Linked DNA regions of Anolis sagrei. The protein of the gene in region 1 interacts with the protein of each later gene in a pairwise test. Links are inferred from orthologs where the notes say so. Each region holds a gene or a part of one and is shown on either strand. Other genes may lie near its edges.

Evidence for each region.
Region 2: the proteins of PAK5 (region 1) and UXT interact in binary tests that used the Homo sapiens proteins (3 or more experiments, as listed by UniProt). The two-hybrid records come from large-scale screens. The link is inferred for Anolis sagrei from reciprocal best matches to the Homo sapiens genes PAK5 and UXT.
Region 3: the proteins of PAK5 (region 1) and CCNG1 interact in binary tests that used the Homo sapiens proteins (3 or more experiments, as listed by UniProt). The two-hybrid records come from large-scale screens. The link is inferred for Anolis sagrei from reciprocal best matches to the Homo sapiens genes PAK5 and CCNG1.
Region 4: the proteins of PAK5 (region 1) and PDLIM7 interact in a two-hybrid assay, tested with the Homo sapiens proteins (2 studies listed by BioGRID and IntAct). The two-hybrid records come from large-scale screens. The link is inferred for Anolis sagrei from reciprocal best matches to the Homo sapiens genes PAK5 and PDLIM7.

The regions. Positions count from the first base shown.
Region 1 is NC_090021.1:145,308,532-145,316,930, reverse strand, and holds the start of PAK5 (serine/threonine-protein kinase PAK 5), read right to left. Parts: upstream 3,647-8,399; 5' UTR 3,417-3,646; exon of another isoform or gene 3,413-3,416; intron 1-3,412.
Region 2 is NC_090022.1:193,097,041-193,104,740, forward strand, and holds the start of UXT (protein UXT), read right to left. Parts: upstream 3,581-7,700; 5' UTR 3,217-3,580; intron 1,308-3,216; 5' UTR 1,279-1,307; coding exon 1,193-1,278; intron 1,079-1,192; coding exon 997-1,078; intron 1-996. Other genes in the region: ER membrane protein complex subunit 3-like, read left to right, coding at 3,877-4,034, 7,472-7,529. UniProt on the Homo sapiens protein: Involved in gene transcription regulation. Acts in concert with the corepressor URI1 to regulate androgen receptor AR-mediated transcription. Together with URI1, associates with chromatin to the NKX3-1 promoter region.
Region 3 is NC_090022.1:109,470,396-109,478,086, forward strand, and holds the start of CCNG1 (cyclin-G1), read right to left. Parts: upstream 3,487-7,691; 5' UTR 3,347-3,486; intron 1,039-3,346; coding exon 775-1,038; intron 1-774. UniProt on the Homo sapiens protein: May play a role in growth regulation. Is associated with G2/M phase arrest in response to DNA damage. May be an intermediate by which p53 mediates its role as an inhibitor of cellular proliferation.
Region 4 is NC_090022.1:76,897,837-76,905,861, forward strand, and holds the start of PDLIM7 (PDZ and LIM domain protein 7), read right to left. Parts: upstream 3,283-8,025; 5' UTR 3,224-3,282; coding exon 3,181-3,223; intron 1,248-3,180; coding exon 1,141-1,247; intron 1-1,140. UniProt on the Homo sapiens protein: May function as a scaffold on which the coordinated assembly of proteins can occur. May play a role as an adapter that, via its PDZ domain, localizes LIM-binding proteins to actin filaments of both skeletal muscle and nonmuscle tissues.

The DNA.
Region 1 (8,399 bases):
AGTCCTGTGTGCAATGTTTGGTTCAATTCTATCATTGGTGGAGTTCAAAATGCTCTTTGATTGTAGGTGAACTATAAATCCCAGCAACTACAACTCCCAAATGACAAAATCAATTTTTTGACTGATGGTCACTCCTTGGGTTAGTAGGTGTCTTGTGGCCAAATTTGGCGGCAATTCGTCCAGCAGTTTTTGAGTTATGTTAATCGCACAAACAAACATTACATTTTTATTTATATAGATACTATGACAAATAGGCCTAACTAATAGCATACCCCATACTACACCATACCCTGCATTGACTTGGTATTATTAAAATACAGTCATTAAAAGATACATAAAGATATATTGTATTCTAAAAATACTTTTGTGCATGTAGTATTTATTTATTTACTTCATTTTTACCCTGTCTTTCTCACCCATGGGAACTCAAGGCAGTTATCATCATTCCTTCGAATTATTTCTTGTTGTTGCAAGAGTCTATGGTACCAAGATATCTCCATCAAAATATTTGAAAATTGGGCACGTGTTGAGGAAAATGGCATTCCCTTGTTGGCTTTCTCTTTGGTATCTCAGGCCCCTTCCACACAGCTGTATAAAATTTCACATTATCTGCTTTGAACTGGGTTATATGGCAGTGTGGACTCAGGGCCCTTCCACACAGCCATATAAACCAGAATATCAAGGTAGAAAATCCCACAATATCGGAGTTGAACTGAATTATCTGAGTCCACACTGCTATGAATTCTAAGCAGATAATGTGGGATTTTATTCAGCTGTGTGGAAGGGGCCTCAAGCTCTCTACCTGCTTTGAACTGGATTACCTGAGGGCCCTTCCACTCAACTTAATAAAATCCCACACCATCTACTTTGAACTGGGTTCTCATAGGGCCCTTCCACACAGCCCTATATCCCAGAATATCAAGGCAGAAGATCCCACATTATCTGAGTGTAGACTCATATAACCCAGTTCAAGGCAGATATCGTGGGATTTTCTGCCTTGATATTCTGGGATATAGGGCTGTGTGGTAGGGCCCTGAGTCCACATGGCCATATATTCCAGTTCAAAGCAGATAATGTGGGGTTTTCTGCCTTGATATTCTGGGTCATATGGCTTTGTGGAAGGCCCTGAGTCCACACCGCCATACAATCCAGTTCGATGTGAATTGTATACAGCTGTGTGGAAGAGTCCTTAGTCCACACTCAGATAATGTGGGATCTTCTGCCTTGATATTCTGGGATATAGGACTGTGTGGTAGGTCTGAGTCCACACTGCCATATAATCCAGTTCAACATGGATTGTATACAGCTGTATGGAAGGGGCCTTAGTCAACACTCAGATAATGTGGGATCTTCTGCCTTGATATTCTAGGATATAGGACTGTGTGGTAGGGCCCTGAGTACACACTGCCATAATTTTTTAATTTTTGGTCGTGTCAGGAGCAACTTGAGAAACTGCAAGCTGCTTCTGGTGTGAGAGAATTTGCTGTCTGCAAGGACGTTGCCCAGGGGACGCCCAGATGTTTTGATGTTTTACCATCCTTCTCTCATGTCCCACATAGGAAGCTGGAGCTGACAGAGGGAGCTCATCCATGCTCTCCTCGGATTCGAACCTGCAACCTGTCAATCTTCAGTCCTGCCGGCACAGAGGTTTAACCTACTGCACCATTGGGGGGTCCTCACACTGCCATATAATCCAGTTCAATGTGGATTGTATACAGCTGTGTGGAAGGGCCCTTAGTCCACACTCAGATAATCCAGTTCAATGTGGATTGTATACAGCTGTGTGGAAGGGGCCTTAGTCCACTCTCAGATAATGTGGGATCTTCTGCCTTGATATTCTGGGTTATATGGCTTTGTGGAAGGGCCCTCAGTCCACACCGCCATACAATCCAGTTCAATGTGGATTGTATACAGCTGTGAGGAAGGGGCCTTAGTTCTTACACAGATAATGTGGGATCTTCTGCCTTGATATTCTGGGACACAGGACTGTGTGGTAGGGCCCTCAGTCCACACTGCCATATAAAGCAGTTCAAGGTGGATTGTATACAGCTGGGTGGAAGGGGCCTTAGTCTGAACTCAGATAATGTGGGATCTTCTGCCTTGATATTCTGGAATATAGGACTATGTGGTAGGGCCCGGAGTCCACACTGCCATATAATCCAGTTCAACGTGGATTGTATACAGCTAGGTGGAAGGGGCCTTAGTCTGCACTCAGATAATGTGGGATCTTCTGCCTTGATATTCTGAGTTATATGGCTTTGTGGAAGGGCCCTTAGTTCACACTGCCATATAATCCAGTTCAGCGTGGATTGTATACAGCTATGCAGAAGAGGCCTTAGTCCACACTCAGATAATCCAGTTCAATGTGGATTGTATACGGCTGTGTGGAAGGGGCCTTAGTCCACTCTCAGATAATGTGGGATCTTCTGCCTTGATATTCTGGGTTATAGGACTGTGTGGTAGGGCCCTGAGTCCACACTGCCATATAATCCAGTTCAATGTGGCTTGTATACAGCTGTGTGGAAGCGGTCATAGTCCACACTCATATAATGTGGGATCTTCTGCCTTGGTATTCTGGGATATAGGGCTGTATAATATCCCCCTGAGTCCACACTGCCATATAATCCAATTCAATGTGGATTGTATACAGCTGTGCAGAAGAGGCCTTAGTCCACATTCAGATAATCCAGTTCAATGTGGATTGTATACAGCTGTGTGGAAGAGGCCTTAATCCACACTCAGATAATGTGGGATCTTCTGCCTTATTATTCTGGGATATAGGATTGTGTGGTAGGGCCCGGAGTCCACACTGCCATATAATCCAGTTCAATGTGGATTGTATACAGCTGGGTGGAAGGGGCCATATATACAGACATATATCTCCCATTTCCCAATGTGTTTATGCCATGTGTTGGTCCTGGAGACTGCCACAGAGTGCCCCACTGGCTGCCCGCTGCCCTCCGCCCTCTCTTGTGTGTCTCAGCCACAGCACCTCCTTGATGCCATCCTGGGCGAGCATGTGTGCCCACAATGGCCCATCCCTCCATGTGTGGAGCGTGGAGACGCCTCCTGCCTCCGTCCCATCCGGGCTGCCCTTCTGCACGATGCGCCTTTGTGCGGAGCCTGGTCTTGCCAGCGTGGGCAATGCCAGGAGCGGAGAGAAAGAGGAGCAGAGCCCAGGGGGGTGGCTCTTTCCCCGCATCCTCCTCTCCCCCTTGCCTGTCTCCTTGCGCAACACCAGCCATGGCACCCTTCCACACCCACCCGGGCAGCCTCGCTCTCTTTTCTCTCCCAGGCAAAAGCAGAGGGAGGCAGCAATGGGTCACAAAAGGCTCCCAGCCACCTTGCATGGAGAAAGGGAGCCCCCTCCCCAGACCCAGCTCCACGCCCAGCCCCTGCCTGCTGTGCTTACCTACCCCGAGGGCTGCTGGCAGGTGGCTCAAGCGAACTGGTGCTGCTGCTGCTGCTGCATGCCTCGCCTTTGCCTGCTCCTCCTTGTCATCCTTTACATCGCTCCCAGCGCCATGTCTCCTGCTGCCTGCGGTGCGCGTGCCTTGGCTGGCTGGCTGGCAGGCAGGCAGCGCGCGGCACTGGATCCCGGTCCACCACCTTCTCCTTCTCCAAGCTCCTGCTCTTGCTGCTGCTGCTGCGGCTGCTGCTACATCCGGGCTGCCGCCGGCCAGGCCTCTCCAGCGCCTCGCAGCGGCCATCAAGAGGAAGTGCAAGGAAGTCGGCTAGGGATTCGGGCCAGCCAGGCAGAAGGGGCATGCTGAACTGGCCCATTGTCCAAAATGGGCCATCACCGTCTCCCAAAGCAGTTACTCTACTCCAAACTCAAGAATGGCAAATGGAATGTTGGTAGACAGGAAAATAAATAAATAAATAAATAAATAATAATAATAATCTATATAAATAAAAATGTAATGTTCGTTTGTGGGATTAACAGAACTCAAAAACCACTGGATGAATTGCCACCAAATTTGGACACAAGACACCTACTACCTCAAGGAGTGACCATCACTCAAAAAATTGATTTTGTCATTTGGGAGTTGTAGTTGCTGGGATTTATAGTTCACCTACAATCAAAGAGGATTGTGAACTCCACCAATGATGGAATTCAACCAAACATGGCATACAGGACTCCCATTACCAATAGAAAACACTACAAGGGTTTGGTGGGCATTAACCTTGAGTTTGGGAGTTCTAGTTCACCTAGAGAGCACTGTGGACTCAAACAATGATGGATCTGGACCAAACTTGGCACAAATATTCCATATGCCCAAATATGAACACAGATGGAGTTTGGGGAAAATAGACCTTGACATTTGGGATTTGTAGTTACTGGGATTTATAGTTCACCTACAATCAAAGAGCATTCTGAACTCCACCAATGATGGAATTGAACCAAACATGGCATACAGGACTTCCATGACTAACAGAACACACTGGAATGGTTTGGTGGGCATTGACCTTGTGTTTGGGAGTTGTAGTTCACCTACATCCAGAGAGTACTGTGGACTCACACAATGACGGATCTGGACCAAATTTGGCACGAATATTCCATATGCCCAAATATGAACACAGGTGGAGTTTGGGGGAAACAGACGTTGACATTTGGGATTTGTAGTTACTGGGATTTATAGTTTACCTACAATCAAAGAGTATTCTGATTCCCACAAAAGACAGAATTGGGGCAAATTTCCCACACAGAACCCCCGTGACTAACAGAAAATACTTAAGACCATCTGGTCCAACTCCCTTCACCAGGGTAAGAAAACGTAATCAAAGCCCTCCTGACAACAGGCCCGTAGCCAGGATTTTGTTTCGGGGGGAGCTGAGTTTGATTCGGGGGGGGGGGGGGGTGCTGAGTCTGAGTGAAAGAGGGTCTACCCTAGCAAACCTTTTATATCATTACCCCAATACCCCCATGTATATGAGATATATTGAACATGGTGATCAGATCATGATATGAATAACATAACAGTTTAAATAATGTACCAGTAAGGCCTTCTCGCGGACCACCCTGAGAATTTGGGGGGGGGGGGGCTGAAGCCCCCCCAACCCCCCCCCCCCCCCCCGGCTACATGCCTGCCTGACAAAGAGCCATCCAGCTATAGATATGATTCACACACAGAGAGATATATAGTTTCCTAGATTTGAAAGGGACCCTTAAAGAAGGACAAGGATATGTTGCATGTTCCAGAGTAGGCAGACCACACACTCTCCACATCAACACTGACAAAGAAACAACAAAAAATACTGTTTACCCACAAGCATCAAGATATTACATATATTAGAAACCAACACTTTCTCATTACTTTATTTTCCAGATCACCAGACTGGGCCACAGCAACGCGTGGCAGGGGACGGCTAGTAATAATAATAATAATAAACTTTATTTATACCCTGCCACCATCTCCCCAAAGGGGACTCAGAGCAGCTTACATGAGGCCAAGCCCAGTGATACATTACAGCAACATAAAATATAAACAACAAAATAACATCATAATAAAATAAATAAACCCATCAAGTAAAATAAACAGTACAAAATAACATAATGGAAAATCAAACACAGTGGACGGGCCAAATGCATGACATAAAATGGTAAAACTCTGAATGAGATAGCAATAAAAAAGGTACAATTGTGGGGGAGGAGCTCGTAGGGGATGGAACAGTGGAATTAGACTTTCAATAAGTTGGGGAATGTGCAATATGAGGTAAACAGTATAGGTGAAACAACAGGATTGGAATATATGGTCGTTCTCCAAAGGCACATCAGAAAATCCAGGTCTTTCGATCTTTTTAAAGGCTGCTAAGATGGGCTTAAAGCCAACCTCAAGAGGTTTAAAGATGGGCATAAAGCCAACCTTAAAAACTGTGGCATAGACACCGAAAACTGGGAAGCCCTGGCCCTTGAGCGCTCTAACTGGAGGTCAGCTGTGACCAGTAGTGCTGCAGAATTTGAAGAGACACGAATGGAGGGAGAAACATACCAAGGGGAAGGCACATCAAGCCAACCCTGACCTGGACCACCTTCCATCTGGAAACTGATGTAATTACTGCGGGAGAACATGTGGATCAAGAATAGGGCTCCACAGCCACCTACGAACTCACTGCCAAGACACTACATCTGGCAGACCCTCATCCTCGAGCTACAAGGGATCGCCTAAGTAAGTAATGTAGTTTGAGTCCCTGAGAGCCTACACTTCTTCTTTCTGAGCTATTTCCCCAATGGAGAGATTAGCATTGTGATTGTTGTTTCCACAGGGCTTTGTTTTGGGCATCCTCAGCTCTCACTGATGTCTTTGTTGAGGGTGTCCATACAAGCCTATAGCCAAGGGGGTAGTTTACGGGTTCAAACCTACACAACAATGAAGCCAAAAGTAAATTGAAAGTTACCTGAGAAGGTCAAGAGCTTGAACATTGTTTCCATCCACAATATCTTGGTGTCACCTTCGATTGGACACTAACATATAGGAAACATTGAATGAACACCAAGCACAAAGTAGCTGCACACAATAACATCATGTGGAAACTTACTGGCAGCACATGGGGCGCAGACCCAAAATTAATAAGAACATCAGCCCTGGCCTTATCTTAATCAACTTCCGAGTATGCCTGCCCTGTTTGGCACAAGTCTGCCCATGCAAAGCAGGTGAACATAGCATTGAATGAAACATGCAGAATAATCACAGGATGACTTAAACCTACACCTGTTGATAAACTCTACAAACTAGCTGGCATTACCCCCCCCCCCCCCTCCAATGTGCAACGGGAAGTTGTTGCTAACTGTGAGATAAATAAGGTTGAACACTATGAAAGCCACCCACTGCATGGTTTTCAGCCTCCTCCCAGCAGACTCAAATCAAGGAAAAGCTTCATGAGAACCACTATTCCTTTTAATGTTCCAACAGCAAGAGAATCCCTCTGGGCTACTAAACCAGGAAATCCCAATTGGATGGCTCCCCATGAAGGTCTTCCTACAGAGGCAAACCAAGAATAGGCAACTTGGAAGTCCCTGAACAGACTCAAAAGCAGAGTGGGCAGATCAAAAGATAACCTGGCAAAATGGCACTACGTAAAAGAATCCCCCACCTTGTGGGGGATTGGCCACGGTGGTCCACGCTCTTGTTACATCCCGACTGGATTACTGCAACGCACTCTACGTGGGGCTGCCTTTGAAGACTGCTCGGAAACTCCAACTGGTCCAGCGGGAGGCAGCCAGACTGCTCACCGGAGCAACATACAGGGAGCACACCACCCCCCTGCTGTGTCAGCTCCACTGGCTGCCGATCCAATTCCGAGCACAATTCAAAGTGCTGGTTTTGACCTATAAAACCCTATACGGTTCCGGCCCAGTGTATCTGTCCGAACGGATCTCCCTCTACGTCCCACCTCGGAACCTAAGATCTCCTGGGGAGGCCCTGCTCTCGACCCCGCCTTTATCACAAGTGAGGTTGGCCGGGACGAGGAGCAGGGCCTTCTCGGTGGTGTCCCCCCACCTGTGGAACTCCCTCCCCGGGGAAATTAGATCGGCAACGTCCCTTCTTTCATTTAGGAAAAAATTGAAAACCTGGATATGGGACCGGGCATTTGGACACCCAGGCAGCTAAAGAAAAACCTGATGACGAGCTGGAACTTGTCGAGATGGAATGGACTTATGAAACTTCAAACGCTGAGCTCAGGATTAACCTACTGCTGTGTTATTGTATTATTGTGTATGGATGATTTTAATTTTTAATTTGTAATTGTTTAATTTGTTTATATATGTATGTATATGTGATAAAGGCATCGAATTGTGCCTTCCTCTGTAAGCCGCCCTGAGTCCCCCCCCCCCCCCCCGGGGGTGAGAAAGGTGGGGTAAAAGTGACGGAAATAAATAAATTGTGTGACTGTGCAGCAGAACAGACAACTCCACATATGTATGCTTGTCCACTATGCCCTGCCTCATGGCAGTGTCGACTCATATAATCCAGTTCAAAGCAGATCATGTTTATTATCTGCTTTGATAATCTAGATTATATGGCAATGTAGAAGGGCCCTAAGATTATCTGCTTTGAACTGGTTTATATGAGTCTACACTGCCATATAATCCAGTTCAAAGTAGATAATCTGGATTTTATATGGCAGTGTAAAGGGGGCCTGAGAAGGCCCTCCATTCTACTGATTATAGCCTGCTTTTCTCCTGATAATGGGACTCAAGGTGGTCAATGATATCTTTAGAAGCAATACAGTTCAAACAACACAAAAATCAGAATAAAAGTTTTAACAGAAGAGTAAAAATAACTCAATTAAACAGTTTGTGAATGAAAATATTAAACGTTAATATATTAAGAGGCAATTTAATTGAAATTTGAAAAATCCATGCCAACTCTTTATACATGTTATGTAACTTCTCT
Region 2 (7,700 bases), on another chromosome or scaffold:
ATTTATACCCCGCCCTCCTCACCCCAAAGCGGCCTTATAATAGGCAACAATTCAATGCCACATAAAACAGACATATAAAATAAGCATATAAATTAAGAACATAAAATTAAAAAGCATATAAACATTAAAACCAATTATTAAAAACCACACAGTCCAAAATCATACTCAAGGAGCCATTCCAGTCATGATATTCCATCTTCACTTATTGCATTGCATTATTGCTGAAAGGCTTGGTCCCACTTCTACACAAAAGGGTAATCCAACTTAAATTTTGTTATGCAGTTTAAGTATCACTAAAATTCCAAAATCTAAAATTGTCCACATAGGTGATTTAGATACTGGCACCTTTGTTTTCTGATAGTTCAATAGACTTTCAGTATTAAATTTATTTAAATTTTGTATATAAAATTATCTACTGGGTATGTGTTTAGTATACACATAAACATAAATTGATGTCATGTTTCAACTTGAATCCTGTCTCCAAGATCTCGTTATATATATGCAAGTATTACAAAATCCCCCAAAATCCAAGTAGAACACGTATGGTACCAAGAATTTCAACCTGCTATATTAAACCCTTGAATCTCACTGCTTCAAATTATGCCAAATTCTTTATCTTACACTCTACAGCAGGGGTCCTCAAACGTTTTAAAGAGAGGGCCAGGTCATAGTCCCTCAAACTGCTGGAGGGCCGGATTAGAATTTGGAAAAAACATTGCACATATCTTATTTGTAGTGCAAAAACACGTAAAAACAATACAATAATTAAAATGAAGAACCATTTTAACAAATATAAATTTATTAGCATTTCAATGGGAAGTGTGGACCTACTTTTGGCTGATAAGATAGGATTGTTGTTGTTGTGTGCTTTCAGGTCGTTTCAGACTTAGGTTGACTCTGAACGAGGGCCGGGTAAATGATCTTAGAGGGCTGTATCCGGCTCCGAGCCTTAGTTTGAGGACCCCTGCTCTACAGTTTAAAAGAGTTTTGAGTTACCTGTAAACGTTCGATCATGTTCTTGAGCTGCAAGTATTGAGCAATCTTTTCATAGACTTCATCTCGCTGTTCTAGCACCTTCCTGGGGAGAAAAAAAAGCAATAAATTGAAACAAAACAAATCTAGAAAACACCATAGACTAGGCCTATACATGAGTGAGAAAGTGGGCACGAAGGAGGGGCATACAATCACTCACTGGAGATCCCTCTGAAGGATATCACTGACAAAAGCCTCATATTGGAGCACTTTCTCCTGCACCTCTCGTTTGCCCAGCATGGCCATGAGATGCACTGTGGAACTAGCACAACAGCCTGCAGAATGAAAGAGAAATTAGGATGATGTGGCTTCCGCACATGGGAAAATAAATGTCCAAACATGAAAAGGCAGCCATGGTCACTGTGAAGTCTCAGACTAGTTTTCACTCCTGTTCATTTCCTTGTTTGCTTTCTTTAGGGTGGGCTGTTCCATTTGGCTGAGTTTTAAGAATGGAGCTTAGGATCGCCCTAGAGCAGGGGTCCTCAAACTAAGGCCCGGGGGCCAGATAAAGCCCTCCAAGGTCATTTACCCGGCCCTCGCTCAGGGTCAACCTAAGTCTGAAATTACTTGAAAGCACACAACAACAACAACAACAACAACAACAGTCCTATCTCATCAGCCAAAATTGTTCTTCATTTTAATTATTGTATTATTTTAAGTGATTTTTGCAGTACAAATAAGATTTGTGCAGTGTGCATAAGAATTCATGTTTTTTTTTTTTCAAATTATAATCTGGCCCTCCAAGTTTGAGGGACTGTGACCTGGCCCTCCGTTTAAAAAGTTTGTGGACCCCTGCCCTAGAGGCCTAGCTCTGATGGTTCAGCCCTGCTGGCTCAGAGCTTGGTGGAAAGATTTTCCCTCCATTCTTTTTTGGCATAGCTTTAGAATTGTTAGGCCAGAAAGTGTCTGGACTGTCTTGGCAATCTAAAACAGTCATTTTAAGCATGTACTTGCCACAGAGATTATAGCCTTGAACTTAAAGATCAGAGATTATAGCTGTACATGCAAAGGATCATAGTTGTACATGCCTTAAAGACCGTACTCTGTACTTAACTCATAGTTTATTTATTTATTTACAGTATTTCTATTCCACCCTTCTCACCCCGCAGGGGACTCTGGGTGGATTACAGTCTACACATATATGGCAAACATTCAATGCCAATTTGACACACAACATATACAGACATACACAGAGGCTATTTAACTTTTTCTGGCCGCCAGGGGAGCTGTCGCTTTCATCGTCCATCTGCGACACTGATGAAGTACTTCCGCATTCCCCGCATGCTTTGCTGGAGTGTTTTTTATGGCCTCATAAATTAGTTAATTTAGCCTCCCCACACAAGGTGGTACCTAATTTTCCTACTTGACAGATGCAATAGTTACCATATCCTTGTATTTATTTATTTATTTACTTTATTTCTATACCGCTTTTCTCAGCCCTTAGGCGACTCAAAGCGGTTTACACAACAATGCAAAATATCACCAAACAGTATAATGCAATTAAAATAGATTATAACATCAACAATTAACAACAATATAACAACCATAACGCCTCAACAATAAAATCAGAATCCACTCTCATTATTCATTGTTCCGTATTCCTATGTTCAATTTCACTGTTTAGTCAAACGCTTGTTCGAATAGCCAGGTCTTCACCTTCCTCCGAAACGGCAACAGCGAGGGGGCCGAGTTTTTTACCTCAGAGTTTATACCTTATATCTGTTCTTTGCCATTCTAACTCTGTATCATTTCAATAATAAAACTGCATCTGTGTAATACCTTGTTTTGATTCACCTTTTTAGGGCTCTGACAGGAATTCTCTCTGTTTGTTCCAGTAAACTTATTTGGTTAATTTTAATCTTGTTTCTGGAGTCTTATTTTAAAGAAATATATAAAAGGTAAGCCGATAGCGGCTGGGGAAATAGCCAGGCACACACATAGTTTTCCTTCAATCCCTGGCGTGCCATCACAGTCATAGAACAAGACAAACTTGCATGCTCAGATTTAAATACATGTATCACTGATAACAAACATTATGCCCTTTGCCTTGCACAATATCCTCTAATCTAAAAAGAGATAGGCTCTTAACTCACGAGAACAAATGAACAAACAGCATAGAGGGAAATTACTAATCTACTTTGGCCCTTCTGCAAAATTAGTCTTATTGACAAAAAGCGACCTCACCAACTGCACGCCTTGGTTTATTTCATCCCGAACTCCAACACGAGCGAGGTCTATTTAACTATCCTCCCAAGCAATCGCTTCCGGGGTCATGAGCGCGAAAAACATCTCAAAGTGGCTGGAAGGTAAAGAGCGGTGGGATCATTCTTCGCGACGTACACTTCCGGATCCTGATGGAAGTCGCAAGAGGGAAATGAGTGGAAAGGAGAACTTGGGTCTTTCTCGGGGGGTGCAGCTGCTCCCTCGCTTCTCCCTAGGCCAGGATTTAGACCACTTCCAGTAGTTACATCGGGGTTACATTGTGGCCAACTTGGACCTTTCCTCCTGGTATTTTGGACTTCAACTCCCACCATTCCTAACAGCCTCAGCGGCTGAGGGGGAAAGGGAAAGGGCCTGAGGCTGTTAGGAATGGTGGGAGTTGAAGTCCAAAACACGCAGAGGGCCCAACTTTGCCCAGGCCTGTTGTTGCCATGGAAACAGCTGTCCTTCAGAACTCAGGGACACAGCACCGGAAGTTCCCCGCGGAGCCCCTAACGTCACTTCCGGGCAAGTTCCCTAATAAGGCCGGCTTGCAAAAGTTTTTCTTTTTATAAACTAGCTCTCAAGTCAGTTGGGTCGAGACCCTCGAGGCGCCGTGGTCGTTCCCTCCCTGTCTCCCTTCCAATGGCGGCGCCGGAGCTGCGCCTAGACGGCTCGATCCGCTTCTGGGTTCTCCTGCCCGTCGCCTGGATCGCTCTCGCCGTCGGGATTCTGCGCCTGCGCGTGGCCGGGCTGTGGCGCGGCGAGCGCGAGCTGGGCTGGCGCGAGCAGCGGCAGGACACGTGAGCGGAGGCGGGGGAAAGGCTGGCGGGAAGCCACGCCCATATTATAAATGGAATGCCGTAACGTGCTCTAGGTGCATGTTTGGCGCAGCGGGTTAGGCGTTGGGAGATGACTCTGATATCTAGGGTTCGAATCCCGCTCTGCCTCAAAAGCCTCTGGCTATTATTATTATTATTATTATTATTATTATTATTATTATATGCTGGGCACAGCATACTATTTGAGAACACAGAAATGCTGGCCCACTCTCACAACCACCATGTCAGACTACACAGAGAAGCCACTGAAATCCACATTAGCATTTGAAGGCCTGGCTGAGTCTGGGGGAATCTTTTGTTGAGAAGCCATTGAAATCCACAAGCATGTGGACAATTTCAACAGAAAGGAGGAAACCATGAAAATGAACAAAACCTGGCTACCAGTATTTAAAAAAACCTCTAAAATTATAACAGCACAACAACAGAGAGGAAACAATCAAGGACATCTAATCACCTCTCGACAAAAGATTGCCCCAGGCACTGCCAGGCCACCAATAATAATAATAATAATAAATCTTTATTTATAACCGGCTACCATCTCCCAAAGGACTCGGTGCGGCGTACAAGAGGCTGAGACCCAATACATCAATAAACAACAACAAACAATACATCAATAAATAACTCAAGCAATAGGCATTGACAATGACAACATGACGCAATTAAAATCAGTGTCAGGGCCAGTTGTAATAGATTAAAAAATTTAAAAACTGGCCATGACCAGGTGAAATTGATAAGTATTTTTGGAGAAAGATAGGGCGTGCAGACAATCCTAGATTTCTAGTAAAGTACATTTGGGACAAAGTGCTTTGGGGTTTCCTATTCTGGGAATGCACACTGGAACAGCCACGTTTTCAAACTCCTCCTAAAGAGTGCTAATCAAATGCTAATCAAGGTGGTCAGTTGAAACATTCACACCTAGCTCCAACAGACAAGAGTTCTTTGTCCCACCCTGGTCATTCCACAGATATATAAACCCATTGTCCTAGTTCCAACAGACCTCACTACCTCTGAGGATGCTTGCCATAGATGCAGGCGAAATGTCAGGAGAGAATGCCTCTAGAACATGGCCATATAGCCCGAAAAAACCTACAACAATCCTATTATTTATTTATTTATTTATTTATTTAAAGCAACAGCTGCTGTGACACCCATTAAAGGGTGCAGTACACCTCTCTAGTTTTCCTAGTGTGGTTTTTAAACCCTGGACAATTCATATATAATTGAGGAGATGCACAGATTCCTATGGCAAATGTATAAAGTTTGTATAGCCCACGTTACATTCATTGCATGTAGCTTTAGCCGGAATCTCAAGTGTGCCACAAGCATTGTTCAGTAAAGCCTCAGGCCCTTTATGCCATTTAATCCAGATTATCAAAACTGATACTCCACATGATCTGCTTTGAACTGTATTATTTGAGTCTACACTGCCATATACTCCAGTTCAAAACATCCATCGAGGATTATGTACCATAGAGGACTTTAAAATCATCTGGGGAGGCCCTGCTCTAGGTCCCGCCTTCGTCACAAGTACATCTGGCGGGGACGAGAGACAGGGCCTTCTCAGTGGTGGCCCCTCAGCTATGGAACGTCCTCCCAAGGGAGATCAGATCGACTTCTTCACTCCTAACATTTTGGAAAAAACTCAAGACATGGCTATTCGAGCAAGCATTTGCAAATATTGAGTAACGGACATAGGAATTGGAACAACTACGCAATGAGACTGGACAATGTTTCTTTTTAATGAGGATTTATTGATTTATATTTTATTGTTATTGTTACGATTTTATGGATGTTAATGCTTTTTTATATTATATTTGTGTTTCTATGGTATTGAATTTTGCCTTGTAAACTGCCTCGAGTCGCCGGAAGGCTGAGAGGGGTGGTATACAAATACAGTAAATAAATGAAGCAGATAATCAGGCAGTGTAGAAGGGATCTGAGGCCCTATCTTCACTGCCATATAAAATCCAGATTATTTTATTTGAGCTGTGTAGACTCATATAATCCAAAGAAGTTAATGTGAATTATCTGCTTTGATAATATTTATTTATTTATACCCTTCTCACCCCAAAGGGGACTCAGGGCGGTTTACATAATCTGGTATTATTCCACGTCCAAACAATAATAATTAAAAGAATTGAACAACAATTTAAAGGGCCTCATCACATCACACCAGAGCAGGCATGGGCAAACCTGGGTCCCCCAGGTGTTTGTTTTGGACTACAAGTCCCACAATTCCTAACACCCTCAGGCCCCTTATTGATTTATTTATTTAAAACTTTTATATCCCGATCTTCTCAACCTTCGTAGAGGGAGTCAGGCCGGCTGACCCTTCCTTTTCCCCCTCAGCCACTTAATTGTGTTAGGAATTGTGGGAGTTGAAGTCCAAAACACCTGGAGGGCCCAAACCCGCCCATGCCCGCTCTAGAGCATGGATCCACCCCAAATATAATATGTCTTGTATGGCAATGTAGAAGGCGTCCTGGACAACAGGAAGGGAGATAAATCTCCCCCTTGGAAGGGAAATTCACTCTTGAAAGAGTTATCATGGGGAAAAGGTGTCTCCTTGCACTTTAAAAAATGGCCTGTTCCAATTTACATTCAAATTCAATTTAAGAAGCACCGTATAGAAGCTATCTATATAAGGTTCCAACCTATATAAACCTCACTTGGCTCGTTCCCAACAGACCTCACAACCTCTGAGGATGCCTGCCGTAGATGTGGGCGAAACATCAGGAGAGAATGCTTCTGGAACATGGCCATACAGCCCGGAAAACTCACAGCAATCCAGAACCTATCTTGTTCATAACTTGCGGACTGCTGATAGAGATATTTTGTTACATCCTAAATTAGGGTATTCAAAGTTAGACAGGCAATATCCTGTCCCCAGGATCATCCAAAATGTTTTTAATCCTAAATGAATCCACATAATACTGAACATGAGGAAGAACTTCCTGACTGTGAGAGCCGTTCAGCAGTGGAACTCTCTGCCCAGGAGTGTGGTGGAGGCTCCTTCTTTGGAAGCTTTTAAGCAGAGGCTGGATGGCCATCTGTCAGGGGTGATTTGAATGCAATATTCCTGCTTCTGGATGGCCCATGAGGTCTCTTCCAGCTTTTTGATTCTATTAATACAAAATAGCAGTTGATCAAAAAATCCCTTGCAATGGCTTGGGGGCCGTATGGAAATGGGGCCCTTATTTTGGGGTTGCAGTTGTCACCCCTAGAAATACCACTCTGAAAACAGTTGCTTGAGCCTAGGAATGTGGAGGATGTGAGCGATATCCCAACTTTGACTGCTGGGCCTGGCGGGTGGCTTTGATGCCACGACTGGCGTCACCACTTGGTGCTCACAGATCTTGTCGGGGCAACAACTGAGTCGAATGCTCTTTGTCCGTCAGGCAGATTCTGGCCCGGAGCCGCCTCCTGAGAGAAAATGGACGCTTCCTCACGCCTCAGGTGAGAGACAAGAGATATATTATTTATTTTTATTTATTTCCAACATTTCTACCCCGTCCTTCTCAACCCCCAAATGGGGAATCAGGGTGGCTTACAACGGCAGCAATTCGATGCCGACAACATACAAAAACACATTACATACAACATTATACGAGGGTTGAATGAAAAGTA
Region 3 (7,691 bases), on another chromosome or scaffold:
AGAAAACTAGAAGCACAATTTTTCAGACACTGTACTTTACTACCGGGACTGTGGTGCAGCTGGCTGAGAGTGAGCTGCATTAAGACCACTATTGACCAAAAGGTCATGAGTTCGAAGCCAGCCCGGGTCGGAGTGAGCTTCTGACCAATTGTGTAGCTTGTTGTCGACCTTTGCAACCCGAAAGACAGTTGCATCTGTCAAGTAGGAAAATTTAGGTACCACTTAAATGTGGGGAGGCTAATTTAACTAATTTAATCTCCAACAAGCATGCGGGAAACAAGGAAATACTTCACCAGTGTCGCAGATGGATGGTGACGGTGAAGCGACAGCTCCCCTGGTGGCCAGGAAAAGTTGGAATGTTAAATAGCCTCTTACTGTCTATCTATATGTGTTGTGTGTCTATGGCACTGAATGTTTGCAATGTATATGTACATTATAATCTGCCCTGAGTCCCCTGCGGGGTGAGAAGAGTGGAATATAAATACTATAAATAAATAAATAAATAAATAAATAAATAAATAAATTTACTAGTGCTTCATGGGGAATTTATCCAACACTTCTTGAAAGAGACAGAGGACATAGTTTTGAAAAAGCCAAGCCTTGATTCCAGTTAATAGGATTGATTTACACAGCACAACTGCACGCAAGATATATCAACACTGCATTGAATGCAAGTCTCCCTGGCAGCTGAAGTCTTAGAAACCCATATATTTCAGAAGCCTTATACAGAGGCGGCGATAAATTGGCTTATAACTTAGTAATCTGAAGACCTACCTTCATTTTTGATAAAAACCTGTCCAAGAAATTCACAGCAAGAGAAAATGTCTCTGTACCAAAGCCAAAGAACTGAGTTAAACTAAGGAGATCCTTCACTTCAAAGTCTCTCAATCTCGCAGTCATTCGAAGTCCGTTATCATGAGCAGATTCAATTATTCTTAGGCCAGAAAACTTTGGCTGACATCTTAACTCCTGTTCCAGTAACACATTCAGCTGATGCAGCAGTTCTTGAGCTTCACTTGTGGCAAATGTTTCGATCATCTGAAATACAAGACTTGGTTTAGAATAACTGCCTACAGCAAAGCATGTACATGTCAAGCCGCATGAGAATCATATTCAATCCCACAATCAAGTTTCAAGGCAACTGACAAGAGACTACAGAAACCATTCTGCAAACCTATTCCCTCCAGATATGCCAGGCTACAATCCCCATTATCCCCAGCCAGTATGGCTCTTGTTTGAGGGTGTTGGGGCCATGGTCCAACATATATGCAGCAGAGCATCAATACTGTAGAGCTAGAATGGTAATCATATGGACCCCAGATATTGTTAGAGAGCATCTCCCAATATCCCTAATCAGTGCTCAGGAATGCTGGGAGCTGCAACTCAACAGGAGGAAAGAAAAAGATTTCTGTTCTTACTGTACAGATGTCACCCAAAGGTCATAATACCTGTTTTATTGGGTTTCCAGACTTGCTTTCCAAAGCCACAGTGACCAAGATAATATAAAAGATAGGAATGAAAAGACAACTGATAAAAGTTCATTGGTGAACTGGCAACAGCTTTTAAATAGCACCAACATTCAGTTGGTGCAGCTTTTGTGGATGGCTAGAAAGTACATGAGTGCTGTAGAATTGATGCATTTTGACTCTATTTTAATTGTGATGGTCCAATGCTATGAAACCAAGAGAGCTGTAGTTTTACAAGGCCTTTAGTCTTCTCTGCCAAATAGCTCAATGTAATGAAATCACGGGTGTTAAGTTTGATGACACTTCTCTGCATCAAACTTCAACCCCCACGATTTCATTACATTGAGCTATGACACTTAAAATAGTGAACTGCATTAACTCTACAGGGTAGATACGCTCGAAGGACAGAAGTAACCATTCTAATGGCCTTGCCTCAAACAATTCTAGCACGTGCTCAGAAATGGCTTCCATGTTAAGTATTACAATGGCGTCCTAAACTTTTATTTGTAATGCAGCCTCCAAGAGTTTTCTATCAAAGGGTCACTCTGTGACAAATGGGTTATATGGCTTCAAAATTTCAAGGACTGTGAAGAGTGCTCACATCATAATCTACGCAACTGTGGAGCTATAATACTACTTTTATTACCTTTCTTACTTTAACTACCAAGGCAATCTTCTAAGATCATCTTTAAGATCGTCTGGGGAAGCTCTGCTTTCGATCCCACCTTATTCATAGGCATGTCTGGCGGGGACAAGAGACAGGGCCTTCTCAGCGGTGGCCCCTTGGCTATGACACTCCCTCCCTAGGGATATTAAATCGGCCCCCTCCCTCTTGACCTTCTGGAAAAAAGTAAAAACTTGGCTCTTTGAATAGATTTTTGGAAATGCAGGGCAATAGACAAATATGGAATTATGTAAGTTTGAAACCTGGAACAGCTTAGACGATGCTACTGGAAAATGTGATTAACAGGAAGACATTGGGTATTTTTGTTTTTAATAGTCTTGAAGCTATGAAAATCAGTCCACCTTACTTTGCCCAGCAGAAGCACCATCCCATGTGCATTGCTTTTGAAGGGCACGTTGTGAGTAAGTTAAACTAATGGTAATAAAGGATAAGCAAAAGAGTCGGACACGACTGGACTAAACCTTTACCTTTACATAACCTATTTATAGGATTTGCTGTCAGGACTCCTTCCACTTGTTGAACTGGATTCCAATTTTTGGGTCTGGAGATTCTGCTCCTGTGGGTGCCCAACTCAAAAGTCTGAGTGCGTCTATACAAGGCATCCTCCAACTGCGGCCCTCCAGCTGTTTGGGCCTCCAACTCCCAGAAGCCCTAACGAGTTTGTTCAATTGTCAGGAATTCTGGGAGTTGAAGGCCCAAACAGCTGGAGGGCCGCAGTTGGAGGATGCCTGGTCTACACTGTAGAGTCAATGCAGTTTGACACCACTTTAACTGCCATGGAATCCTGAGAGCTGTAGTTTGGTGAAGCACCAGCCCTCTTTGGCAGAGAAGGCCAAGGGCCTTGGAAAACGACATCCCCCGGGATGCCATCGCACTGAGCCATGGCAGTGGAAGTGGTGTCAAACTGCGCTCATCCTGCAGTGTAGAAGATGCACGCCTGCGGCCCAAGGCGAGGAAAGACATGCCCGGACTTGCCCTCCTGGCCTTTCCTCCGCGCTGGAGGCCCCTAGACGACCCACAGCCTCCCATAACCTTCCTGATATCCCACAAAAGTAGAAAAACAGCAGTGAATTGCAGCAAGATGGGTAGTTTCCAGAATTAAGAATAAATTAATTTAAATTAAATTAAAATGAATACAGGAGTAGCACACACACTGTACTAATAATCTATATTACAGACAAACAAACCAGTTCACCTTGAGTCTCCTTTTCCAAGCAACGCAGGAGAAGAGTTGTCCTCTCGCTGGCAGGACTTCCCCGCCCTTCCAAAGTTACTCCTTCTTCTCTTGCCCATTCCAGCTCAATCTAGTCGCCGACCCGCAAGCTCCGCCCCCTGGCTTGTAGCACCGCCCCCATTGGCTGATTGCGCTCCATACGTCAGAGGCGAATCCTCACTTTCTCCGGCAGTGGCTTCAAAGGGAGAGCGGGATCATAGAGAAAGGGGAGGTTGCGAATTAACAACGCCCTCTAACTTCTGGCTCTTAATCGATGCTTCTAACTGCTTCTGTTCTAATGGTAGGATCGCAATGCGCATGCGTCTGCCACTTCAATTTTGAGGCGCTCGTTTTGACATGCAAAACAACTCCTGAAGACTATAAGCGCATCTATATTGTAGAATAAATGCGGTTTGACACCACATTACCGCCATGACTCCCTGCCATGGAATCCTGGGAGTTGTAGTTTGGTGAAGAACCAGCACTCTGTGGCAGAGAAAGCTAGAAACCTTACAAAACTACAACTCCCAGGACTCCGTTGTATTGAGCTATCACAGTTAAAGTGGTATCAAACTACATTTAGTGTAGTATCTAAGGCTTTCATGGCCGGAATCACTGGGTTTCTGTGAGTTTTCCGAGCTGTATGGCCATGTTCCAGTAGCATTCTCTCCTGACATTTCGCTCGCATCTGTGGCTAGCATTTTCAGTGGTTCTGTTGGCAATGAGGCAAGTGGAGTGCCTGTTTAACGAAAGTATAAACAGAGAAAGGGCTATTTCTCCCACCCTGGACATTCCACAGGTATGCATACACTCCTCTTGTCTCACTGCCAACAGACCTCTGAAGATGCCAGCCACAGATGCAGGCGAAAGGTCAGGAGAGAATGCTACTTGAACAGCCCAGAAAACGCACAGCAAGCAAACGTTTACTGTGTGGCTGAACCCTGTGTTTTGCTTTCCAGTCGCCTATTTACATATTAACAGCTTGTTTGAGAAAAAAAGGTTTCCAGCAAAAGGAGAGCAGGGAAGGGGCCAGCCTGCCCCCCATGGAAGGGAGTTAGTTCATCCCTGAAAAGGCTCCTTCCTGTGTCCTCACCAAATAGATCTGTGGTGCCAATGAGAAGTAAAGCTATCAGTTTTATATAGGGCAATGTTTCTCAACATGGGGGTCGGGACCCCTGGGGAAGTTGCAAAGCGGGGTGTCAGAGGATTGCAAAAGACCATTCAAAAACATATACTGTATATCTGATGGTCTTAGGAACACAGTGCTCTCCGGAGTTAGGTGAAATACATCTCCCCTAAATCACTGTCAATTCCAACCAAATCACTCCAGTATTTTCTGTTGGTCATGGTGGTTGTGTGTGTGGGAAGTTTGGCCCAATTCTATCATTGGTGGGGTTCAGGGGGCTCTTTGATTGTAAGTGAACTATAAATCCCAGCAACTACAACCAGGGCCGTAGCCAGAAATTTTTTTTGGGGAGGGTTGAAAATTTCGGGGGGGGGGGGGGTTTGAACGTTTTTTTTTTGGGGGGGGGGGTAGGGTCACGCTGAAACAAAGAGCACAACCCCCCCCCCCCCCCCCAGCTACAGGCCTGACTACAACTCTGAAATGCCAAGGCCTATTTTCTCCATACTCCACCAGTGTTTACATTTGGGCATATTGAGTAATCATGTCAAGTTTGGTCCAGATCTATCATTGTTTGAGTCCACAGTGCCCTCTGTGCCCACCAAACTCTTCCAGCATTTTCTGTTGGTCATGGGAGTTCTGTGTGCCAAGTTTGGTTCAATTCCATCATTGATGGAGTTCAGAAAGTTCTTTGATTGTAGGTGAACTATAAATCCCAGCAACTACAACTCCCAGGCGACAAAATCAAACCCCTCCCCAACTCCACCAGTATTCAAATTTGGGTGTATCATGTATTTGTGCCAAATTTGGTCCAGTGAATAAAAATACATCCTGCATGTAATGTAATATTTACATTACAATTCATAACAGTAGCAAAATTACAGTTATGCAGTAGTAATAAAATAATTTTATGTTTGGGGGTCACCATAACATGAGGAACTATGTTAAGGGGTCGCAGCATTAGGAAGGTTGAGAAACACTGTTATAGGGAGATCCAGTCTTTCAAATCAACTGAACCTAAGAGTTATAAGGCTTTGTGGGTCATGTCCAGCATTTTTAATTGTGCCTTTCACCTGACCAGGAGCACCTCTGTCTTCCATGGATTAAGTTTCAACTTGCCAGCTCTTTTTGTTGTTGTTTATTCGTTCAGTTGCTTCCAACTCTTCGTGACCTCATGGACCAGCCCATGCTAGAGCTCCCTGTTGGCCATGGCCACTCCCAGCTCCTTCAGAGTCAAGCCAGTCACTTCAAGGATACCATCCATCTTGCCCTTGGTTGGCCCCTCTTCCTTTTTCCTTCCATTTTCCCCAGCATCATTGTCTTCTCTAAGCTTTCCTTTCTTCTCATGATATGGCCAAAGTACTTCATCTTGGCCTCTACTATCCTTCCCTCCAATGAGCAGCTGGGCTTTATTTCCTGGAGGATGGACTGGTTGGATCTTCTCGCAGTCCAAGGCACTCTCAGAACTTTCCTCCAACACCACAGCTCAAAAGCATCTATCTTCCTTTGCTCAGCCTTTCCTATGGTCCAGCTCTCACATCTGTAGGTTACTATGGGGAATACCATTGGTTTAACTATGCAGATCTTCGTTGTCAGTGTGATGTCCCTACTCTTCACTATTTTATCGAGACTGGTCATTGCTCTCCTCCCAAGAAGTAAGCGTCTTCTGATTTCCTGGCTGCAGTCTGCACGTGCAGTAATCTTTGCACCTGAAAATACAAAGTCTGTCACTGGCCCCACATTTTCTCCCTCTATTTGCCAGTTATCAATCAGTCCAGTTGCCAGAATCTTGGTTTTTTTATGTTTAACTGCAACCCAGCTTTTGCACTTTCTTCTTTTACTTTGATTAGAAGGCTCCTCAGCTCCTCCTTGCTTTCAGCCATCAAAGTGGTATCATCTGCATATCTAATGTTGCTAATGTTTCTTCCAGCAATTTTACCCTAGCCTTGCATTCATCAAGCCCTGCACATTGCATGATGTGTTCTGCATACAAGTTGAATAGGTTGGGTGAGAGTATACAACCCTGCCGTACGCCTTTCCCAATCTTGAACCAGTCTGTTGTTCCATGGTCAGTTCTTACTGTTGCTAATTGGTTGGCTCTTATCTAGTCCATTAATGACAACAGACATTTGTTCAGAACCTTGGAACGTGCAGGGGAAAAAGAGAGGGTGAGTTGGTATATTCAACACACTGGTGACACTGAAATCCAAAACTTTGGATAACATCTCCCAGCTCTTTCATGTAGATGATGTTAAACAGCACAGGGGACAAAACCAAACCAGGAGGAACTCCACAAGTAATAATAATACACTTTGTATTGAAGAAGGCTTTCATGGCTAGAATCACTGGGTTGTTATAGGTTTTTTGGGCTATATGGCCATGTTCTAGAAGCATTCTCTCCTGAAATTTCACCTGCATCTATGGCAAGCATCCAGTGTGTAACTTTCCAAAGGTCACCCAGTGGGTTTATATGGCCAAGTGAGGATTTGAACCCTGGTTTCCAGAGTTGTAGTGCAATGCTCATGCTACCTCTGGTGGTACATACAGTAAAGTCTTGCTTATCCAACATAAACAGGCCAGCAGAACACTGGATATGTGAAAATATTGGATAATCAGGAGAGATTAAGGAAAAGCCTATTAAACATCAAATTACGTTATCATTTTACAAACTGAGCACCAAAACATCATATTTTACAACAAATTGACAGAAAAAGCAGTTCAGTACATGGTAACATTATGTAGTAATTACTGTATGTACGAATTTAGCACCAAAACATTGCAATGTATTGAAACAGCTGTGGGAGGCCGACTGCGTTGGATAATACAGAATGCTGGATGAGTGGAGGTTGGATAAGCGAGACTCTATTGTACTTCTGAGCAAAAATGCACAGCGTTGTCCTGCTAGCACTCTGAAACATTTGGAGAACCAAAGAAGGCAGTCACTGGAAGTTGAACTTCTTTTTGCAGCTATAACTGGCATCTTGTGAAGGCATTTGGTTCAGCAAAATATGAAAGAATGCTGACAGCGCATACTCTATTACAGACTGTGGTTCATTAGGGTTAAGCCGTAATTTCCCTCTTTGGAAGAGAATGACAGTTTCTTAGCAGTGCTCTGAAAATGAGGATTGGCTAATAAGTTAAAAATGGATATAATCAAACAGCTGCAGTCTTAAAGTAGCAATTCTGTAACTAGCAGCTGTGATT
Region 4 (8,025 bases), on another chromosome or scaffold:
GCCCTGGAAATTGGTGGCTGAACTGAGATTTGAACCACATGCCCACCCACAAAAATGGCTCACTGGTGACCTTAGGTCTCATTTGCAGCAAGAGAAAATCAGTGTCTACACCAGGAATACGAATATGTGGCCCTCCAGATGTTGTAGGGATGCCAATCCTACTATTATGCCCCAACTACCTAGTCAATGGTGATAGATGATGGGAGTGCAGCAGTTCAGCAACACCTGGAGAGCCACAAGTTGCATATCTTCTCTGCATCTTCCCTGTACTAAAGGGTTGGATGGCTCCTGGCCCTCCAGATGTTGTCAGAATGTAAGTCCTAATTATCTTAGGCAGTACAGCAACGGACAAAGATTATGGGAATTCAAGTCCAACAACATCTGGAAGACCACCATTTGGCCACTCTTACTCTTGTCAAAATTCTATCCACTAATCTTCAGGACAGCCTCCTAGCACAGAATGCAGTGTGGAATGGGTAGACTTAAAGATGTCAGCTCACAGGGAGAAGATGTGAATATCATTTCACACTGTTCCCAAACCAGTACCACTCAGAAGACTTGGTAATATGTAGAAAGCAAAACTAAAGAAATCATCATCTCAGAAGTTTAAAAAATTGATGGACCAACACAATCAGCTGTTGAAAATGAACTGCAAGACTACTCCCCTCCGATATAAAGATCTACTAAGCTGCATTTCTTGGCATCATATTTAGAACAGCAGGAATTATGTATTCACATTACCACAACCCCTTCCTGTGGAGAGTTATCTCCACCCAGCCACAGGCAAGTGTCATTTCCACAGGTCCAAAAATAGGGAGTGGGAGCCTCAAAAAGCTGGGTATCAAGTGACAGTCCAGTCATTGCCAAGTACCCTCTCATTACATCATGGGTCCAATGACGTTAGGCTATCTATCCAGCCAGGGCCTTTCTTTTCCTCTCAGGCACAAGGTACCTTGTAAAAGGTACAAAGGGAACCTCAAAGGTTTGGGGGAGGAAGGACAGGGGTAATGGATATGCCAACCCAGGAATGATCTGGAAAGGAAGCGATGATATAACAAAGAAATCACAACTGCTTAATATCCTTCAGAGTGAGAATGAGAAGGCCTCCCTGTCAAGAGGCTTTGAAAGGCTGATACTCACCCTGGAGATGGAGAGTGGCATGTTGAAGTCCTTGCCACCCTGCAACCTGAAGCCCCATGGTGCTGGTCCATCCAGCACCACCTTGTATGAGTCTATATCAGACATTTCTGTGAGAAAGGAGAAAGGAACAGTCACTTATATACAATTGAGGACTAGATAACATGAAGAAGAGGTGCTTGACAAACAGGACTGTGGAAATGGAGCTCGTCCTCCAAAGTTTGCCATTTATGTCACATCATGAACCATGAACCAAAGTGCTCCCCTCCATCCTCTCCATGCTGTTTCCCTCATTAGTTCTTCCTCTTTTTGACCTACAGTGAAGTTTTCCCTTCCCTTGTCTGCAGAGCAGGGCCTGACAACTATGGTCCTCATGAGTTTTTGGCCTTTCAATCCAAAACAGATCCAGCCAGCATAGCTTATTGTGAACGATTATGGGAGCTGCAGTCCAAACATCGCTGGAATGCCACAGCTTCTCTGCCCTTCTTTAAGCTTCCATCACAGTCCTAGCAAAACAAGATAGCAAAAGACAACAGACAGAAAGCAAAACTACCACACAAAAATACAGAGGAATAGTGACACAAAGGGCCAGGAAAAGAATGGAAATAATTCCTGTTTTCCACCCATTCTCAAAACACTGAGCAAAAAGGTTTCTCTTCTATTTTTACCAAAACCACATTCCTGAAGGACTTCCAACTTTAGCCCTTGAAGGGCTCATCTCAGCAATATTAAATGCTGGCTTCCTAATAGAAACAACAAGAGTCTCAACTAAGAGCCCCTATGCCTAAGGATCACATGTATATTTTGGATAAATTTGCATGACCTTTGGATGGGTTTATTTTAAACCTCGGCCACTTTTGCTTGAGTCAATAAAAGCATCTGGATTAATTATGAAAATAGGTTTTGTCATATGCCTAAGCACTAGATTTCCCAGGGTCAGTCATCATAAATAGCAAACCTGGGCCCCTTCCACACAGCTGAATAAAATCCCATGTTTCTGCTTTGAACTGGAATATATGGCAGTGTGGACTCAGATAACCCAGTTCAAATCAGATATTGTGGGATTTTCTGCCTTGATATTCTGGGTGTGGAAGGGCCACAGCTCTCACTGCCAATGTTTGAAGCAGAGCCAGTTCAAAATGGCTGCTTCCCAAGAGCAAAACCAATTGAATTCCCTGAGCCAAAGAAAGAAAAACAAACACGGTTGTGTGAATGAGACCCACGAAGAGCAGAGGTTGTCAGGAACCAAATATATAAGATAAGACCCCCACTGCAATAAAGTGAAACTCTCCACATGGACACGAGAACAGACAAAAACCATTTTAGTAGACTCCAGTCACACAGCAAACTGAGGAGCTTCCACACAGGGAATATAAACATTCAAGAATGAAGGACCCTACATTGGGATGGGAAGACAAAAGGTGCACTTACACTGTAGAAACAATGCAGTTTGAGACCACTTGAATTGCCATGTCTCAATGCTATGAAATTCTAGTGAGGCACCAGCACCCTTTGGGCAGAGAAGGCTAAAGTCCTTGTAAAATTACAACTCCTATATTTCCACTGAAATTAAATTAGTATCAAACTGGATACATTTGACAGTGTAGAGGTACCCATTGAAACTGCTCTGTTCTCATAGTTGTATTTTAACACAGCTACTTTTAATTAAGTAAAATCATAAAGGCTGAATCCTTAATCTACTCCACCTAATCATTCTGGGAACAGAAACTCTCCACCAGGCATTGCTACCACTTTGCTACTTTTGGGATAAGCGAGCTGAAACAACCCTATGTCACAACAAGCAGACAAGAAGATTGCCTCTGGACATCAGCTACTCCCTCTGCCTTCCTTCACTCTGTCTAGGCAATCTTGCCTATATAAGGCATGCAAAATGACAGTCATAGTCCACTGGTTGCTCATCAAGACTGGGAGAGATGCAAATTAGTCTTGGAAACGTCAAATACTTCATGACTGGTTCTAACAGAGGAGTTAGGACAAATCAGAAAGGATCAGGAAAGAAAATCCACATATGTACACACATACCAGAAACATTTTGTTCTTTTGGGCTGGGCCCTAGGACATCCATCTCCTCTAGGACAAGAGAAGACTACAAAGTGCCAAGGTCTTCAGAGCTTCTTGTATCAGACCAACTGGTAGGGGAGACGTAGCATTTGCCCCTTCTTACTGTAGTGTAACAGTGTGTACCAGCCCTCCCTGGAAAGCTGAATTGCTTCAGTCTGAAGGCTAACAGCAGCAGTACCGGCAAGAGCTTAATACCATCTCTCCACAGGGACGGCAGAGGAATGTGCTCTGCTAAGGAAGAGGCAAGGAGCTTTGATTTCTCCAGCTTCTTGGTGGGGCTGAGTCGGCAAAACATGCCTGGACGGGGTCTTATGCCACAAGCTGCAGAAAGAATGCCTTGAGCCTCCACACTAGTAGCAAAAATGTATAAGCAACTTAGAGGCCCTTTCCCTGGACCGAAGTTACTATGACTTCCAACTATGACTTTCTCAGTCAAGCAGCACCAGAATGAACACCTGTGGCACTGTGGTGAGGCACATTTCTCAGGTGATGCTTTGGAGCCCTTGTGGCTTTGTTAAGAATGGGTCAATGTCGTTCCTCAGCTGGCAGCTACTTCACTGGAAAGTAAACTGAGTTTGGAACAAAGCACGGCGCTTATGTGCTGAAAATAAACAGAAACCAGGCTAAGCTCAGGAGACTAGTGGTAATCAGAGAGAGGCCTTCCCTTTGTCAGTACAACCCGCTTAACTCAAGCAGATGGAAACAAACCAGAAAATTAGGACTAAACTTCTTGTTGCTCGGTAACAAGCTTGAAGTTACTGATAAGCATTTCCAGGAAGTACCTTAATAAACATGAACAACGTATGTTGTAGTTATGTTCAAAGCTTTGCGTTGTCACCTTTTTGGGTTTCAACTCCTAAAATATCTCAACCAAGTGACCATGTTGGCTGGGGAGCCCTAGAACTTGCAGTTTTAAAAATTAACTTTCTCAAGCTCTTAACCTGTAACATAAAGAACAGCAAACAGTCTTTTGCTTCAGAAAATTGCATTGGATAGACCACATGATCTCTAGTTTCTGCTACAAACCATATGCCATCTGCTTGCCCACAGAAAATCATACTAAAAAAGGGTTTTGCAAGACCAGTCACTCTAGTTGCAAAGGTGTAGTAACGGTGAGGCCATGGACCATAGTTTGGTTATTCTGGACCACTGGTGGTCCACGGACCACAGGTTGGGAACCACTGGTAAAACCTTTCATGAACTATGGCTCATTTAATCAGATGCATGGGGAATTATACATTATACACACACTTATGATGGAAGAAGAATGTGTAAACACAATGTTTGGAGCAACCTCCCCTAAAGTGGTGCTCTCCAAATGTATAAGATTGTAAACTCCAACAGCTTCAACCACACAGGTCTATGCTGGATAAGGATGATGGGAGATGTAGGTCAACACTGGGTTAGAAATAGGAAAAGAACACAGGAAAAGTAAAAACTGAGACGATGATGTTTAAAATCACTATGGTGCTGTCTGCATAGTAGTTATACTTGTAGACATTTGCAACAGGATGTACTAAGTGAAACAGAAGCAAAAAAAGAGGGGGGGGGGGTTACCAGCTGTTAGGATTTCTGGGAGTTGAAGGTCAAAACATCTGGGGACCCACAGGTTGAGAACCATTGGTCTAGCCAGCATAGCCAACCAGCAATGATTTAGAGAAGTGGTTCTCAACATGTTGGTCTCCAGATGTTTTGGCCTTCAACGCCCAGAAATCCTAACAGCTGGAAAACTGGCTGGGATTTCTGGGAGTTGCAGGCCCAAACACCTGGGGACCCACAGGTTGAGAACCTCTTGAGAGTCCAAAAGAGCCAGTGTAGGAGTCACTAAATAGACTATTTTCTGCATTTTACATCAAGAGAGCAAATTCTACTTAAGAGGCCACCCTATTCTGATCTGTGATAGCTAGCAAATAACAAGAGATCTCCCATCTTGTCCTTGGGACAATAGGAAGATGACAGAGGAACCCATGGACAATGGCCAGGCTTCATTACTCCCATTTTTACCCTCGTCTCCTTAAGATGACAAAGTTTTGGTTGTTTTTTTTTTTAATTTTGTGGATTTAGCTGGCAGGATGAACTAGATGAGCAATAAATAACCCAGCCCAAGAAGAAAAGGATGCACTCTCCACTTATCTCCATATCCCTCAGAAATGCCTTTTACGTCATCTCTTCTACCAAAAAGAAGAACTAACCACGTAATTGTAAAGCCAAGCTACATGGTGAAATAGTCAAGTAGTTAAAAAACGAACAACAGCCTTCTGTTGCCTAAACTGCCTCTTCACATCACAGGAGCTGTGATGGCAAAATGGGTTAAACCAGTGCTTCTCAACCTGTGGGTCCCCAGGTCTTTTGGCCTGCAACTCCCAGAAATCCCAGCCAGTTTACCAGCTGTTAGGATTTCTGGGAGTTGAAGGTCAAAACATCCGGGGAATCACAGGTTGAGAACCATTGGGTTAAACCCTTGTGCCGGCTGAACTGTTGACCTGAAGGTTGGAGGTTTGAAGATGGGTGAGCTCCCATCTGTCAGCTCCACCTTCCCATACGGGGATATAAGAGGACCCTCCCACAGGATGGTAAAACATCAGGGAATCCCCTGTGCAACGTCCTTGCAGATAGCCAGTTCTCTCACTCCAGAAGCTACTTGAAGTTTCTCATGACCATGAAGTAAGTGGGGAATCATATGCCCAAGATAAGCAGAGCAAAATGTTTTTTCCCGCTTCCATTAATAACCACACAAGATCTACAGACAAAAATAAGGCTGGAGGCTAGTGGGAAACTCCCAACATTTCTTCTCCTCACATATATGCTGGGTACATCACCAGCCATAAAGAGAGTTAGAGTCAGACATGTCTACTAAGCAACGGGTTGGGAAAGACTTCCTTATGTGGGTTTACAAGACCCTCTAACAAGCACGGGCAAATTTGGGCCCTCCAGGTGTTTTTTGGAGGTGTTTTGGAGTTGAGGTCCAAAACACCTGGAGGGCCAAACTTTGCCTGTGCGTGCTCTACAAGTACAGGAATTCATTTGAATTCCTTTGGGTATAGTTCCTGGCACTCTGTATATGCTCATTTCTCATTATATACAATGGCATAGTAAAATTGTGTCCCTAATATAAATCAAGGTTTGCTTGATTGTAATAAGTAGATGGTTGAATCCATGAATGTAGGGTCCATGGATATGGATGGCCAACTGTGCTGACAGTCATCAATCCTATGCCTCTAGGAACTTGTAAGGAGGGTGCAAAAATCAACATGACTTTAGTATTTTCCCCAATATGGGACGTTTCACTCTGCTTAAACACAGAGGCTTCTTTCCCCACATCTCGGCCATCTCACCACAAGAGGATGTGTCTTAAAGGCACAGGACAGCAACTCCCTTGGAAGCCACACTAGGCATGGGCAAACTTCGGCCCTCGAGGTTTTGGACTCCAACTCCCACAATTCCTAACAGCCTACCGGCTGTTAGGAATTGTGGGAGTTGGAGTCCAAAACACCTCGAGGGCCGAAGTTTGCCCATGCTTGGCTGATAAGGGGACTCTCTTGGTGCCCCTTGGAAGAGGTTCCCCCATTCTTCGCGCCCTCTTCGCTAAAAGGGGTCTTTCCAGAAATGGGGAACTTACCTGCAGGAGCCTAAGGACGCCCCGCTCCTCCGTAAAAGGAGGCGCAACTGGACTCGACGCCGAATTGCCTCCGCCTCGCCGAGAGAGAGCACGCCAGCGCGCCTTATATACCTCCCGGCCGCTCCCTCCCTCCCTCTCTCTCTCTCTTCAGTACAAGCCCCCTCCCTCCATTGCCCGCATTCAACAAGCCCGCCGCACGCCCAGAGCGCATGCGCACCGCTTGACGAGCCTGTCCGTGTCCATCCCAGCGGCGCCCCCCGACGTCCCTCCCCGGAGGTGCGCGCTTTTGGAAATATGGGAAGGGGGCGTGACGTCAGCACGCTGCCGTCGCCAGGCAACGAGCAAAGCCCTCCCCCCCACTCACACATACACACCCGCATACCGAATCAGGAAAGGAAATGGGACTCCCTCTGACTGAAGGCCCTTCCACATAGCCCTCTATCCCTGGATATTAAGGCAGAAAATCCTACATTCTCTGAGCGTGGACTCAGATAACCCAGTTCAAAGCAGATATTGTGGGATTTTCTGCCTTGATATTCTGGGATATAGGCATCACTTTAACCTCCCAACCCTGCTACACACCTGCGAGACGTGGACTGTATACAGACGTCACATGCAACTCCTGGAACAATTCCATCAGCGCTGCAGCTGGAAAATCCTGCAAATTTCTTGGGAAGACAGGCAGACAACCGTCAGCGTTCTGGAAAAAGCAAAGACCACCATCATTGAAGCAATGGTCCTCCGCCATCAACTCCGCTGGACCAGCCACGTTGTCCGGATGCCCGACCGCTGTCTCCCAAAGCAGTTGCTCTACTCCGAACTCAAGAACGGAAAATGGAACATTGGAGGACAGGAAAAGAGAGTTAAAGATGGGCTCAAAGCCAACCTTAAAAACTCTGGCATAGGCACTGAGAACTGGGAAGCCCTGGCCCTTGAACGCTCCAGCTGGAGGTCAGCTGTGACCAGCAGTGCTGTAGTATTTGAAGAGGCACAAATGGAGGACGAAAGAGAGAAACGTGTCAAGAGGAAGGCGCATCAAGCCAACCCCAACAGAGACCGCCTTCCACCTGGAAACCAATACCCTCACTGTGGGAGAAGATGCAGATCAAGAATAGGGCTCCACAGTCACCTACGGACCCACCAGTACACTGATCCTGGAAGACTATCCTACTTGGACAATGAGGGAT